Linked DNA regions of Lepisosteus oculatus. The protein of the gene in region 1 purifies or fractionates together with the protein of each later gene. This does not show direct contact. Links are inferred from orthologs where the notes say so. Each region holds a gene or a part of one and is shown on either strand. Other genes may lie near its edges.

Evidence for each region. Proteins that work in one complex are often made in the same cells at the same time.
Region 2: the proteins of tada2b (region 1) and taf10 purify together in Homo sapiens (affinity purification with mass spectrometry; 4 studies listed by BioGRID and IntAct, counting the BioPlex papers as one, with this or other methods). This does not show direct contact. The link is inferred for Lepisosteus oculatus from reciprocal best matches to the Homo sapiens genes TADA2B and TAF10.

The regions. Positions count from the first base shown.
Region 1 is NC_090696.1:42,383,362-42,390,413, forward strand, and holds the start of tada2b (transcriptional adapter 2-beta), read right to left. Parts: upstream 3,097-7,052; 5' UTR 3,042-3,096; coding exon 2,772-3,041; intron 1,805-2,771; coding exon 665-1,804; 3' UTR 1-664. Other genes in the region: cfap184 (cilia- and flagella-associated protein 184), read left to right, coding at 3,404-4,966. UniProt on the Homo sapiens protein: Coactivates PAX5-dependent transcription together with either SMARCA4 or GCN5L2.
Region 2 is NC_090720.1:9,870,443-9,877,773, forward strand, and holds the start of taf10 (transcription initiation factor TFIID subunit 10), read right to left. Parts: upstream 3,099-7,331; 5' UTR 2,839-3,098; coding exon 2,640-2,838; intron 1,812-2,639; coding exon 1,654-1,811; intron 1,520-1,653; coding exon 1,455-1,519; intron 1-1,454. UniProt on the Homo sapiens protein: The TFIID basal transcription factor complex plays a major role in the initiation of RNA polymerase II (Pol II)-dependent transcription.

The sequences.
Region 1 (7,052 bases):
AAAGGGAGATGCATATACAGTATTACAAAATAACTCCCCCCCCCCCCCCCCCAAAGGACTCAACAGGCCAAATGAATATCCCAGCTGCCTGAAACTGTACAAAGCAGTTTCTTTCCTAAAACAGAAATGACACTTTTTCTCTCCGTGCATTTATCTCTCAAGACAAAGCCAAATGAATCCAGCATGACTTTTGGATTGTAGGAGATAAATGTTAACAATAGCATGGGTCTCCCTCCCTTACACAAAAGGCGGTGCCTCGTTGTGACTTCAAAGTTATTACGGAGATCTTTTCCATACACGAGTGACGAAGAGCTGCAGTAAAACAGCACCCACATTGGTAAGTTCAGGGATTGTAGTTGAGCCCTGGGGCAAAGATCACAGGAGAGAAGCAAACGTTGTTCTTCAGTTACTCTGTTATTGCCATTTTGTTTTCTCGCATGCTCAGCTTTAAAAAGGCTTAAATAAACCGCAAACAGCTTTTGACTTCTTTCTTTCGCCAGTCCCAGCATTATCACGCTCCCGTAGAAAGAAACAAAAAATAACGTCCAGTAGTTTGGCCCATTCGGAACTTACAGAGGTCAGACACAGCACACAGAACACCTTGTGAAAAGTAAACCACACACAAATTGGCAATGAAGTGAAACGGGCAACGAAGTAAGACAGACTAAGAGGCGTCCCGCGATATCCATCCACTCTCGGTGAGGAAGTTCAGAATCCTCTTTTTGAGGACTTTGTCCAGGTAGCTAGGGAGACGGCTCTTGGAGGGGATCCCCTGGCGCTTCTGTAGGTGGTCCTTGATTATGATGGTCTTGGCCGTCAGGTAGCGTGTGGGGCTGAGGTTCAGAGAGTTGCAGAGGACCTTCTCCCGGTCGGAGAGCAGCTCGAAGCCGGACAAGTTCTCGATTGCGGCGAACTCGCTGTCCTTGCCCTCCTCTTTGCCCCCGCCACCACCACCGCCGCCGCCGCCCCCGCTCCCACCTCCTCCGCCCCCTCCCCGTTTGGACTGGGCCACGCTCTTGTTCTCCTTGCGCTTCTCCCGCTTGTGCCGCGCCGCCTCGTACTCCACCGACTCGTCCAGCCTGGTGATGCCGTTGCGCCGGTAGCGCTGCAGCTCCCGCACCTTGGCCCTCAGGACCCGCTCCTTGTGCATATTCTCAAAGAACTCCTCGAACTCCCGGCAGGCCATGAACTGGCAGAGGGGCCTCAGCTTGAGCCGCTGCTCCTTCTCCTCCTTGGTGATCTTGCGCTTGGGGGCTGGCGTCGCGGCCGAGGAGCCGGCCGCTGCTGGCGGAGCCGCCGCTGCCACCACCGCCGCCGCTGTCGCCGCCCCCCCGGCAGCCGGCTTCTCCTTGTCCTTCTCCTTCTTGTCCTTGCCCAGGAAGGCCGGCACCAGGTTGTAGTCGCGGGCGATGGTCTTGCGCCGCTGCCGCTCCCTCAGCTTGCGCACGTACATGTCCACGTGGGCCCGCTTCATCTCGATCTCCACGTCATCGTCATCATAGTTGACCGACAGCCCGCTGATCAGCGTCTCGGCGTCCTGGTCGTACTCGATCTCGTAGTCGTCGCGCAGGGGCATGTAGCCCAGCTGCTGCTGCTCGGCGACGGTGATGTCAAGGGGCGGCAGTGGGGTGGTGAGGCTGGGAGACAGCGGCCCCCCACTTGGACATGTGTGGTCCGTCACTCGGTTTGGGATGCTGTCCGGGATACAGGCCTTGCCAAGGTTACCGTGGATGTACATGGTCACGTAGTGCTCCATGACTTCCTGTGGCGTCCTTGAAGCTCCAACATGGGCTGCCATGTCCTCCTGGAACAATACAATTGCGTTAGTGGGGCAATGATACAAATCTTTACACAGGCAGCCATTGTTACAGAGAAACTACACACGTCTTAGTATTTGCTTAGCCAATGGCCTTATCTGGCATAACTCAAAACATACAAAAACTTTCCCTCAGTAAGTAACAATCATGCAGATAAATTACAGAACTAAAAATTAAGCTTAGCACAAACAGAACATGCTGTTTTATGCAAAATAGAACAGTAAGGTTTAAAATGATATACAGACATTGTGGATACCAACAGCACTGAAAACTCACTCTCTATCACCAGTGAACAATGTTCACTGGACTAGGGCAATGTTCACAACAAAGTCCTAGACATCCATGGAGAAAATCTATTCACAAGCTTTCTGTAGGCAAAAATACGTCGTTCCTGTAAACTGGAATAATTGCCTGTGGTTATATCTAATTGCATATATATGGCAGCAAACAAATTGCTAAATCGCACAAGCACGCAGGTGTCTGTTTATGGATATTCTAAGAAAAACTCTTAATAATGTATAGTGTAGTACGGGAAGAATTTATGTTTTTTTTACTTTCTTGATGGTGCAAAACACACATTCTTTACACAGTCATTTTTACTATAGCATTTAAAATCTCACGTATTTGCGATGCGATAGTTTTTTCCACTCGAAGCGTTCAAAATCCTAAAATGTTTAAACGCTCTTAATAATCACAGGTTTTTATTTTATATAAATCTTTAATTTGACGCGTTTTCTACATTCTCAGAAAACCGACAAAGTAATTTTTGATCTTACCTATAGTTTGGCCAGTCCTCCTGATTGAAACCGATTTCAAATTAACTTTTCACTCACTCACAAACGTGACATTTGCTGAAACAGAACAATACTGGAGTACTGCAATTTCAACTGTCACCATCAAAACGTAATCCTCTCTCTTCTTCTCCATCCCGTGGGAAAATAAAAGAAAACTTACCCAGTTTCCAAAGCCATATTGCTCGATCGCATCCAGTAGCGACTGCTCTTCCCTGCTGGTCCAGCCTCCTTCTGCTTCGGGACCCCAAAGAGTAAAGCGTCCCCCGTCTACTTGCTGATACCCATGCCATCGCCGATGATTGCCTATTTCGGCGCCTGCAGAGAAGCATTCTGGACAGAGTTCGATGTCTTGGCACTCGGTGCAACGAAGCCGCAGGTTCGTTACATCTGCTAGACAATTAACGCAGTACTTCTTGCCCAGGTCGGCCATGTTGCAGGCTGCTGCTGCTTGTTGTTGAAGCTGCACAGCCTCCAAGGCAGGCGCATGCGCACTGAGCAGCTACCGCTCTGCTCCCTGCGTCTCATTAATATAAATATCACGCGCATGCTGGTTGGGTCACGCCCCCGTTTCTGGGGCAACCGAAAGACACCGCATTAGGTTTATAAAATAGTTGGACAGGAAAGGTACAGTAGGTGTAATTTCTAGGTGATTCAGTTTTGGGTTCTTTTTTTTCTTTTTGGACCCAGTGTTTAGTTTGAGCTAACTTTACAGCTAACAATAGATTTACATTTATTTTACAGCGGGATAGGAACAAATAGTGACTTATTATTCTTATATTATTTCGTACTGCGATGGAGGCGTCACAGCCCCCCAAACTCGAAACTGTTGAGGAAACGACAGAGTACCTTCCTGAAGCGGAGAACACTAACGGTTTGTCCCAAACCGAAAAGCAAGAAGAGACATTCGAGGGAGAATCTAATGAAGCTGGAAATAACAATGACTGCACTGCTGAACTGCTAGCTGAAAAGGATGGTACCGAGGCTGGGACGGAACAAAAGGAAGAGTTGCCTGAAGTTAACAGTGACCTTCCCGGCACCAGACAGGGGCCAGCAGATGAGGTTTCAGGTGAGTCTCTAGGAGGACCTGCCGAAGCTGAAGCTGAAACCTTAGAAGAGTTAAAAGGAGATAGTGCTGCTGAAGATGCATCAACACCTGTAAAAGAGGAGGAGAAGCAAGTTGTGCCTTCTAGTGAAGTTTTAGCAGAGCAAGAGGAGGAAGAAGGGCAGCAGATCATAGGAGAGCTGCTGTCTCGAGAGGGCAGCCCAGTGGCCCAGCAGGAAAATGCTCCCCTAGAGCTGGAGCTGGAGGCGCCAGAAAGAGAGACAAGCCCAACAGAAGAAGAGGAGGAGGAGGAAGAGGAGGAAGAAGCCCTAAGCATAAACTATGAAGAATACATGGAAAGGTACAAAGAACTTAAGAAGGAAAAGGCGAATATTATCCAGCAGAGCGGTCAGCTACAGAACAAGTTAGTGGAGTACTTCCGCAGGAAGACAGGGGAGGAAATCCGTCATGAGAAAGAGAAGCCAGTCTCAGATCAGGAGCAGCGCTACCTCAAGTACATGTCTACAATGGAGGACCTGAAATGGCAGCACAGGCGGGACTCAGAGAGCTACCAGCAGCAGATCAAGGAGCTGAGAGCCCAGTCCCAGGAAAAAGTGAGCCAGGTGGACAGTGAGTGGAAGGTCTTCATGGGCTTCAAGAAGGAGGTGGCAGTGTCAGCCATGAGCCGGCGCCTAGGAAAGCAAGCCGCTGTCGCACAAGTGGAGCAGATCCAGGCCAATGAGCAGCGGAAAGAGAACGAGCTGGTCCAGGTGAGGCTAGAGAACATCAAGCTGAAGAATAAGGTCAGGAAATTTGAGGCTATGCTGAAGGCTAAGGAGGAGCTGGCTGAAGGGCTGCACCTCATCGACTTTGAGCAGTTGAAGATTGAGAACCAGACGTACAACGAGAAGATTGAGGAGCGCAACGAGGAGCTCCTGAAACTCCGGAAGAAGATTACCAGCACAGTCCAGGTCCTCACCCACGTCAAGGAGAAACTGCAGTTTGTCCAGGTGGAGAACCAGGCAAAGAAGGCTCAACTTACAGAGGTGGAAGCCCTGGTAGCTCGGAAGAGGGACATCCTCACCAAGACCAAACAGGCCCGTGATGCTCTCCGCACGGACAACCTGAAGCTCCGGCAGAAGTGTGGCCTTCTGGGAAATGAGACCTTGCTCCGGGACTTTGAAGAAAAGGTAGATGCCTCCGAAGCTCTGAGTCAGAGGCTTGAGATGCTGAGGCGCCGGCATGCTGAGCTGACACTGAGATGTGTAGGACTCAAGAGAAAACTAGAGCAAGCTAAGCTTTCACGCCAATGAAAAGCAGCAGATGCCAAAAATAACAAGACTCTGGACCCATTTCCTTTCATGGTCAATAACATAAAATAAATCAACCCAAAAAATAACTAAAATAAATGGTGTCAGCTGGTATTTTCAGATATTTCTTATATAGTTGGCTATTTATGTATGAAAGGGAGATATGATTTCTCTAAGATAAGTCAAATCTACAGTTTAGTAGTTGTGTACCTGACATTCACATTAGTCTCCTCATCATGAAAAAATTAAATTGATGATTTATATCAATTACTATCATACAAAATGTGAACAGATTGCCTTCCAGTTGAGATAAACACAGTTGAGATAAAGCAGAACTCTTTTTAAATTAAATTATTTCAGGGTGAACCTCAAATATTTTTAAATAAATTTTACTCATATTCATTTTATATTTATTGTTGTCCGGGTCACTTGTGTGTAGATTCATATTGTGTATAATCAGTTGTCAACCTATTGCTTAAATGGCAATCATCTAAAAGTCTTATTGACTAAATATTTTATCCAGCTCTCTTCCACTGTATTATCTCATGCTTTGGGTTGAGTGGAATTTTAAAAATCATTGGCCTGGGGTATCCAGCTCCTGTCCTCCACTTCCAAAGTGCAATTGTTTGTTGTATCACATTAAATCATTTCTTAGATGTGGGGACACAGTTCAATTGGCCAAATAATGCAATAGCTCTCTTAATCTAATTTGAGCAAAGATACAGTTGTTTTTAATTGAAAATAACTTTATGGGTGACATATTATTATTCAGCATACAGGAGCATGACGTCTCCTTGTCCATTGGGGTGGACACCGAAAAAATAATGTCATTCTCAGGATGTGCATATTTCAGTATAGAGTATTTTGACCTTACTGCAACTTTTGCTTTCCTGTATTTAATCTCATTCCATTGGAAGCACTATTTGATTTATGTTAACTTGAATCTTTTTGCTGACCTTAAGTGTCCTGTGTGTGTTTCTTCATTCAAATCCTCCTACTGTTCTATTGCTTTTTAGGATCTAGGAAACTATTCTTATAACCAAACTGTCTGCCATTTCTATACATTATTTTTTAATGGAATCTTGTTCAGCTTTTTCTAACAGAATAAGTGTTGATTCTGACTTGTTAGTGGTAAAATGCTTTATTTTTTTAACAAGCATTAAAGAGAAATTATTAATAAAGGGTAACAGAGCACTTACATTATAATTTTCTTTCAAATTTACCTATCAAGGCAAAGAAAGACAATAACATAAAACAGAATGTAAAAGGAGTAGTTTCTACCATTTATCTAACTCTATTGTTTCAGCTTTTTGTATTGCATTCCCTTTTGTAAGTTTTGTGTGATTTTGTTTAATACTTCATCCTCATGTTATTTGCAATTATATCTAACTATTGTAAATATGATTGAAAAACAATAAGAACCTGACAGACCTGAAATAAAAAGTACAATTGGGAATATGCAGTTTTTGCTCATGGGATTTTCATAATTACCCCCCTTTTCACTCTTTTCTTTACACTTTCTGGCAACTAGTTTTCAGAAGTCTTTTCAGAGAATTCTCGTATGTAAAAGTTTTCTTTTTAGATCAGTAAATAAATCAAATTCTAAACTGAAATTATACCAATGAATTCTACAAACCACATAGCAGGAAAGTCAAATCAAATGAAACAGAAAATCAAGGTGATAAAGACTAGTCCTTTAAATACACTACATTATGTGGATAAGTTCTGGCACAGGGCTTGGTTGCTAGACTCATCTGTAGTTGACTGCAGCAACACACTCACTGCTGGTCCTAGTTTGATTTAATCATCTCACTAAGTCACAGGGGATTTTACCTTTAGTGCTAAGCAAGCCAAAGGAGAAAAGGCTGTGCCTTTCCCCAGGGGATCGAGGCCAACACCAGTGATATGGGCTACAAAGGAGAAACATTATAGAGGAGCTGGAAGAAAAAAGTCAAACTTCTCAGTCAGCAGTTTATTTTCAAATAGGCTACCCTGGTGAGCAAACAGCTGTATTACGTGTTCTTTCTGCACTCTGCAAAGATAGTATTTTTGGTATAGCATGAGAAACAAAAGTAGACTTACATTCAAA
Region 2 (7,331 bases), on another chromosome or scaffold:
CTCCTGCAACCTCTTTGCTCTCTTACCATCTGGTTAAAGGTATGGCAGTATACGAGCCAGCTCCACCAGACTCCATGACAGCTTTTTTCCCGCAGGTTGTCAGGCTCCTCAACACCCTGGTACCTACTGCACCTACTCCAAATCTGGAAACCTAGTTCTCTTTGCCTAATGTCAGGCACACTGTCTGATGTATTCTTTACACAATTCTTTGCAAAATCCTGTAAAGTAAATTGCACTCTGCACATTGCACTTCATGTACCCTGTCAGAAATGTCTATGTCTACACTGTCTGTAGCACTGGCTTGTCAGTGTCTTGTAATTAATAATTGCTTACACATATATAGCGCTTTTCTGGACACTCCACTCAAAGCGCTTTACAGGTAATGGGGACTCCCCTCCACCACCACCAATGTGCAGCATCCACCTGGATGATGCTCAATACTCTCACCACACATCAGCTATCAGTGGGGAGGAGAGCAGAGTGATGAAGCTAATCCATAGATGGGGATTATTAGGAGGCCATGATTGGTAAGGGACAATAAGAAACTTGCCCAGGGTGCCAGGGTTACACCCCTACTCTTTTCTAGAAAAGCCCTGGACTTTTTAATGGCCACAGAGAGTCAGGATCTCAGTTTTATGTCTCATCCAAAGGACGGTGCCCTTTTGCAGTCTCGTGTCCCTGTCACTATACTGGGGCATTAGAACCCACACAGACTGCAGGGTGAGCGCCCCCTGCTGGCCCCACTGACACCTCTTCCAGCAGCAACCTTAGTTTTTCCCAGCAGGTCTCCCATCCAGGTACTGACCAGGCTCACACCTGCTGAGCTCCAGTGGGGTGTCAGCTGTGAGCTGCAGGGCTGCTGGCAACATTCAGTCAAGAAAAATGCACAAGGGGGTAAGACACACTAGAAAGGAAGTTTGGATAGTTTGTCTTTTTGAGTGAACCACATGATTTCAATTTGTCCCTCACATTCTCCAAATACATCAAATTATTTATAACACAAGTATACTCTTCACATTATTCCTTTGCGTAATTCTGTTAAAGGAATTCTATTTCCACCACGTACTGGAATGAACTATTGCCTCGTGTTAATGCTAGGTTAACAGCATTAACATGTAAATGTCTAACATCCATGTAAATGCACTCTACTTTGCATTGCACTCATTCATTTCTCATTATTTCTTACTATTAAAACTGCCTTTAATATTCGAGGCATAAAATATAATTTAACAACAATACTGTACAGAGATTTATAGTAACACAAATTAAAAAGAATGAAATTTACCAAAACTACAACAAAAAACATTTAGAAACTTGTATACAAAAGATACAACTTACAATTCATGTTAATAAAAAAAACTTTGCACAGCACATACTGGAATATTAAAATTTGCCTTCTAGTAACTGCAGTACAGGATGGCTGGGCCATAGCAGATAGTGAAGTTAACACTTACATGCGGGGATCAGAGGCTTCGAACCCAGCCCGGTTGAGATAGTATCCGGTCACTGCGTCGGGGATCTGCAGGTCAAAGACAGGCCATCAGCTACAGTCTGGCGAGGCCCAGGCGTGTGTCTCTGTGAGTGTGTGTGTGACTCTGTCTCTGTCTGCGTGTCTGTGTGTTGTAGCCTAAAGCCCCGAGCTGCCCCAGGTACCGTGGGAGTGTAGTCTTCCAGCTGCATGAGGAAGTCGGCCAGAGGCATGCTGGACAGGACAGGCTTGACGTCTCCGTTGGCAATGCCAGGCGGCACGTACACCCCGTTAGACACCAAGGTCTCCGAGGGAGGGGGGACCGAGGCAGACGACAGCGGAGCTACATCAAAACGCAACAAAATCAAGATTAACGGGTGAGCTGACATCATTTTGATCACTCTGCTATTTTACATCACATAAGTGTAAATGAGTATGATTCTCTGCTCCTGGTATCCTGGGAAGGATGTTTGTGTTGCACAGGGCTTTGGAGTACTGTGCATCCTGATTTTGCTTCCTCCTCTTTAATCATCTTGGAGAGGTCTTGCTTGAACATTGTTACAAAAGTATGAAGATGTCAAATTCACACAGGATTTGTCATACAGGATCAGCGACAGAGCTATAGTGATTAACCAGAAACAGGGGGTTTAAAACAAGCCTATATGAAATTGAGAAATTCGGGAAGTATGAAGGAACAGCAGTAAAAGACTCTTTATTCCGCCCCAGTGGTCTTCTTACCCTTTGTGGCAATTTAACCACAAACTACAACCCATTTGTACAGCGTACAAATACAGAGTATTTAACCTGGTTTATGAACTATACTGTACTACTGCGGCTCTAATTTATCCCACCGACTTTTTTCCCCAAGAATCTTTTTTATTATTGGAAAAACCTATGAAGAACCGTCCAGTTATACAACTGTTAAGTTTGTTTTTTGACAGGCAGGAAGAGCGCATTAGTCGCTCGTCTCCTCCTCACGGGTGTATAGACCGCATATGGAGTTCTGTATAAATGATTCGCCAGCTAGCCAAACGACAAACAGTTTAACAAAACGCCCAAAGCCTGACCCCAAGCACACGGATCCACGGCAGCGGGCTGGGGACCGGGCTAGAGATACCCCGTGAACTGCGGCGTGTCCCGCCGGGGCAGCACGAACGGAAGACGGGCTCACCGCTGGTGGGAGCCGCGGAGGCGACGCTGTTGGCGCTGCCGGCGGTGTTGCTGCTGGTTGCTACGCTGTTGCCGCTGCTGCTGTTGTTGTTGCTGCTGCTGATGCTGCTGATGCTGCTGCTGTTGTTGCTGTTGCTTGTCGTGGAAGAGTTTGACAACGCGCCTCCAGCCGCCACGGGCTGCGGGGTATCGACGTTCATCGTTGTCGAGTACCAAAAAAAAAAATCTTGAACGTTGAACAGCGAACGGATATAACAGTCTTCGAGAAGCAGAGATTTGACGTTTGAAATAAGCCCCCCCAAAAAAGATAATGCAATTTAACGCGACGATTCCCAAAACACACACACACAAACACAAAATCCACGCATGTAGCGTATGTCAGCAGCTGGACTTTTTCAGCAACATTCACCACTTCCCAAACAAGCCCAGCTTCCGTGTGCCGTTTGAGTCAAGTCCGGACTACAACTCGTGCCCACGCAATGCGTTCCGCCTCGCTAGCACCCGCTGTTCAAGGAGACGCCAGCTGCGGGTCCTGTCTGGAAAAGTGATTCTGGCAAGTGGCATGTCCTGGGAATTCCAATCTTGAACTACCTGGAAATGTTGCTGATCCTCGGCTGCTCCAGGGTGCTCTCCTAAGGACTGGTTGCAGAGATCTTGTGAGCCAGCAGCCATATCACCCAGCAGGCATGAGCCTGGATGGGAGACCTAATGCCCCAGCATAATGATGGCATAGTGACTATACTGTAAAAAGGCGCCGTCCTTCAGATGGGATGTAAAACTGAGGTCCTGACTCTATGAGATCATTAAAAATCCCAGGGTGTTTCTTTAAAAGAGTAGGGGTGTTACCCCGGTGTCCTGTCCAAATTTCCCATTGGCCCTTACCAATCATGGCCTCCTAATAATCCCCATCTCTGAACTGGCTTCATCACTCTGTTCTTCTCTCCACTGAGAGCTGGTGTGTGGGGAGCATTCTGGCGCACGTCACATCATTAAGGTGGGGGCTACACACTGGTGGTGACGGAGAGGATCCCCATTACCTGTAAAGTGCTTTGAGTGGAATATCCAGAAAAGAGCTATATAAGTGTAAGCAATTATTATTAATGTAATTAGTTACTGTTGGACTTTGATCGGTGTTCTTTATACACCCTGAAAATTAGCTTCAAAGAGTAATTAATAGCACTATGTAAGTGTAAGGAATCATTATCCCATTTCAGGAACTGTCCTTTTTTACTCTAAACTGTACAAATGGCAATGTCCTTTGGATGAGACATAAAACCGAGGTCCTGACTCTCTGTGGTCATTAAAAATCCCAGGGTGTTTCTCAAAAAGAGTAGGGGTGTAACCCCGTCGTCCAGACCAAATTTCCAATTGGCCCTTACCAGTCATGGCCTCCTAATCCCCATCTCTGAACTGGCTTCATCCCTCTGTTCTCCTCCCCCCTTGAGAGCTGATGTGTGGCGAGTGTTCTGGTGCATTGATCGTACAACAGCTCCTGGGCTTAATCGGCCTGCCCACCACAACTCTAGATCAGAAGTGCTTTCCTTTGATTACATCCCTGTGTTTTCTATCAGACGTGTATACACATGCAAAATGTTCCCCAGTCATAAAAACACACCATCAAGCATGTTCAAGTGTATTCCAAACCAAGTGCTGAACTCCTGTTCTTGATCTGTATTGACTCAACTTAATGTGAGAAGTGAAGGCAAGGTATCAGTGACTGATCGCTTGGAGGGCAGCATTGCTGCCTTGCAGTGCTGGGGCCCTGGGCTCAATTCCCAGAGTGCTATGTGCATGGAGTTTGTATGCTCTTCCAGAGTTTGTGCAAGTTCTCTCCAAAGATGTGCTGGTGGGTTAACTGGTTTCTGGGAAAATTGGCGAAAATTGGTGTGAGTGTGTCTTTGTAATTGTGTGTCTGCCCTGCGATGGACTTGTTCTGTCCAGACTGCCCTGTGCCCATTGCTTGCTGAGGTAGGCTCTATTTTTGAAAATGGATGAGTGGACTGTATGGCCGTTTTTTTTTCATTTAGGGTCTAAAACATGTCAGTGAAGTTTATAAGTGTCCGTTCTTAACAGCCATATTCCAACGCTATATCAAAATCATGCAAAATATTCAATATAAAACGTGCTTACTGAATTCTGTGGGCAAAATACCCATACCCCTTCCCCAAAAAAGGAAGAAAAATCACATTTCAAATTATAGTTGATTTTTATTTATTGCCACAAGAATAATTATACATTTTAGTAAGAAAATCAAAAATAAATTTGTATTAAGTAGCCATTTATTTTTAATATTGACTTTTAAAAAAAATAAGCCCACAAGATGTTCCACCATATAAAATATAAACTTTGACACAGCTGGTGCAAAACCACACGTGACAATGTAGACCACGACAGAGAAGAAAGGAATGTCTTTTAAAAGACAAAACACTGTAGAGGGAAATTGGGCCAAACAGCTGTCTACAGGGGTGCTTTCTTAAAGAGTATTCTTTCATCAACTAAGAGCTACAGGTTCAAGCAAGAGAAAAGAGCCTTTCTGTATCTCAAGGATGGACAGAGCTGTGGCAGAAAGGAGCCAGGAGACCTTCTGACACAACTCTGTACTAGTTTGGAACTTTGTCTTGACTGACAGGATAAATGAGCCGGACACAGCGAGCGTCTGCTACTGTTTCTGTAAGCTGCACCTGAGAGATGGCTTTCCGAAGATTAACACAGGGAAAATGAGGCAGGAATTTCATTGCATACTCTGGACATGGATTATAGAGCATTCCCCATTTTCCCTTTAGGGAAGACTCAAATATTCTGTCGTCTATTAGGCTTCTTAAGACTCCTATTCTAGGCAGACTGTAACTCTTACCCAATTTTTATCGGTCTCCTTACCCTTGCCCTGCTCTGTTTCCAAAGTTATTTTGTTTCCTGACATGTTAAAGCTTAACTAGGGGTGACCGGCCCTGGTACTGGAAAGATTCAATCCAGCAGGTTCGACTTTAAATCATCCATCTCTAAACACAGCTAGCTCATTTTGTTTTGATCAGCTAAGCAGCTGATTCGGTTCATCTACAGTAGCTGAAAGATTCACTGGAAATGAACATTTCAACTCAGCAGCTGGCAAGAACAATGTCTGGCTTAAATGAGGCAGTGCATTTACTACACTTCCCAGTATTCCACACATGTTCGAATCTCTAGAAATCGAGAGCTTAAAGCCTTGGTGGGTTGTTCCTCGTCCAGGATCAGGGCTGGTCACCCACGAACTCAACAGAACGGAGACCCCCTTCACTATTTGGCACCATTTTCCCCACAAATAACAGACCCAATAACTCAACAAGACGAGCACTCCTCAATGGAAATGAAGGTATGTAGGTGTTGCGTTAATTGTCTTTCAGCAGCGGCTGTGTCTCAGACTGAGCCTGGACCCCAGGTGCCTGGACTAATTGAACCAGCCCTAACAAGTTCACAAGATTACTATATTGTTCGTTTTTAGCTAAATTGGATTATTGAAGAGGCTGGTATTGAGGCCACTACGCACTTTGCTCCTCTCACATGGGTGAATGGGTCCGGCTCAATCCAAGATACAGCCTGTGTCCACAAGCTAGCTGCCCAGTCCTTGAATAGTTATGGAATCGTTTCAGTCAGGGAGCCAGTCCAGATTGCAAGATGCGGACCGTGCAATGCAAGATTTCATTAAGAACTCCGGGAGAAAAGAACAGCTTGTGGACAACTGCCCTTTGGAATACATTTCGGAATGTTTTGCGTTACATGGAATCTGTCACCATACAAAACTAAAACCCTTTTATTTTTAATGAAAAAATATTTCTTATATATTTACACCACAATTCAGGTCTGCTGAGCCACAGTGTGAAGCCAGATGGTTGGTTATCATTTTTAAACTGGTCTCAAAGCCACTCGTCCCAGCTCTATCCCATCATGGGCGGGAAGCACTAATGACTCCGACGGCTGTTAAACGATCCTCCAGTTTTCAAAAGGAATTAAAGGACCTAAAATGTTATAAAATAAATATTCTTTATTTCAGTCTACTTCTTAAAAAAACAACAGTTTAAAACAAGAATTTCTTTACGAGACCACAAAAAGGAAAAACCATTGCGATTGCAATCTCACTTCTTTCGTTCTGTCCAGGTCTTGTTCACTGTTTCCTACACACGACTGCCCTTCTACTGTAGGAAATCAGACCTTGATGGCAATGTCCAACTGTTTTGATCCCACTTTTGAACAGTCTTCAGACCCCTTGCACATTCTGGTTTTGCTAATTTGCTTGCAAATGCTCTGGTATCGTGGAACTCAGGGAGTACAGACTCCAGACTGGAACTGTGGTGATGTTCTTAATCACTCTTAAATCAGGATAACGACACACTAAAGAAAACCTCCCTTTAGTTGCTACCACACTATGACCTACTCATTAGCAACTATGCAGAATAAATAAATATATGTCAAACTAAACTGCACTTTTATTTCAAGAGGCAGAGCTTAATTAAGAGGAACATCACACAAGCCTGTAGGATTAACTAAGTACACTAAGTGGGAAACACACAGGTTAAGGACTTTTGAAACGGCAGCATCTGCTCTCTAGGCTGTAGAAAGATACTGTTGTTGCTCCTTTCATTATCACGGCCCATTTCTTACCGATGCACCCAAGACCTCAAACTACAGATCGGTCTCCTGCCCGGAAGTGGGATGAAAA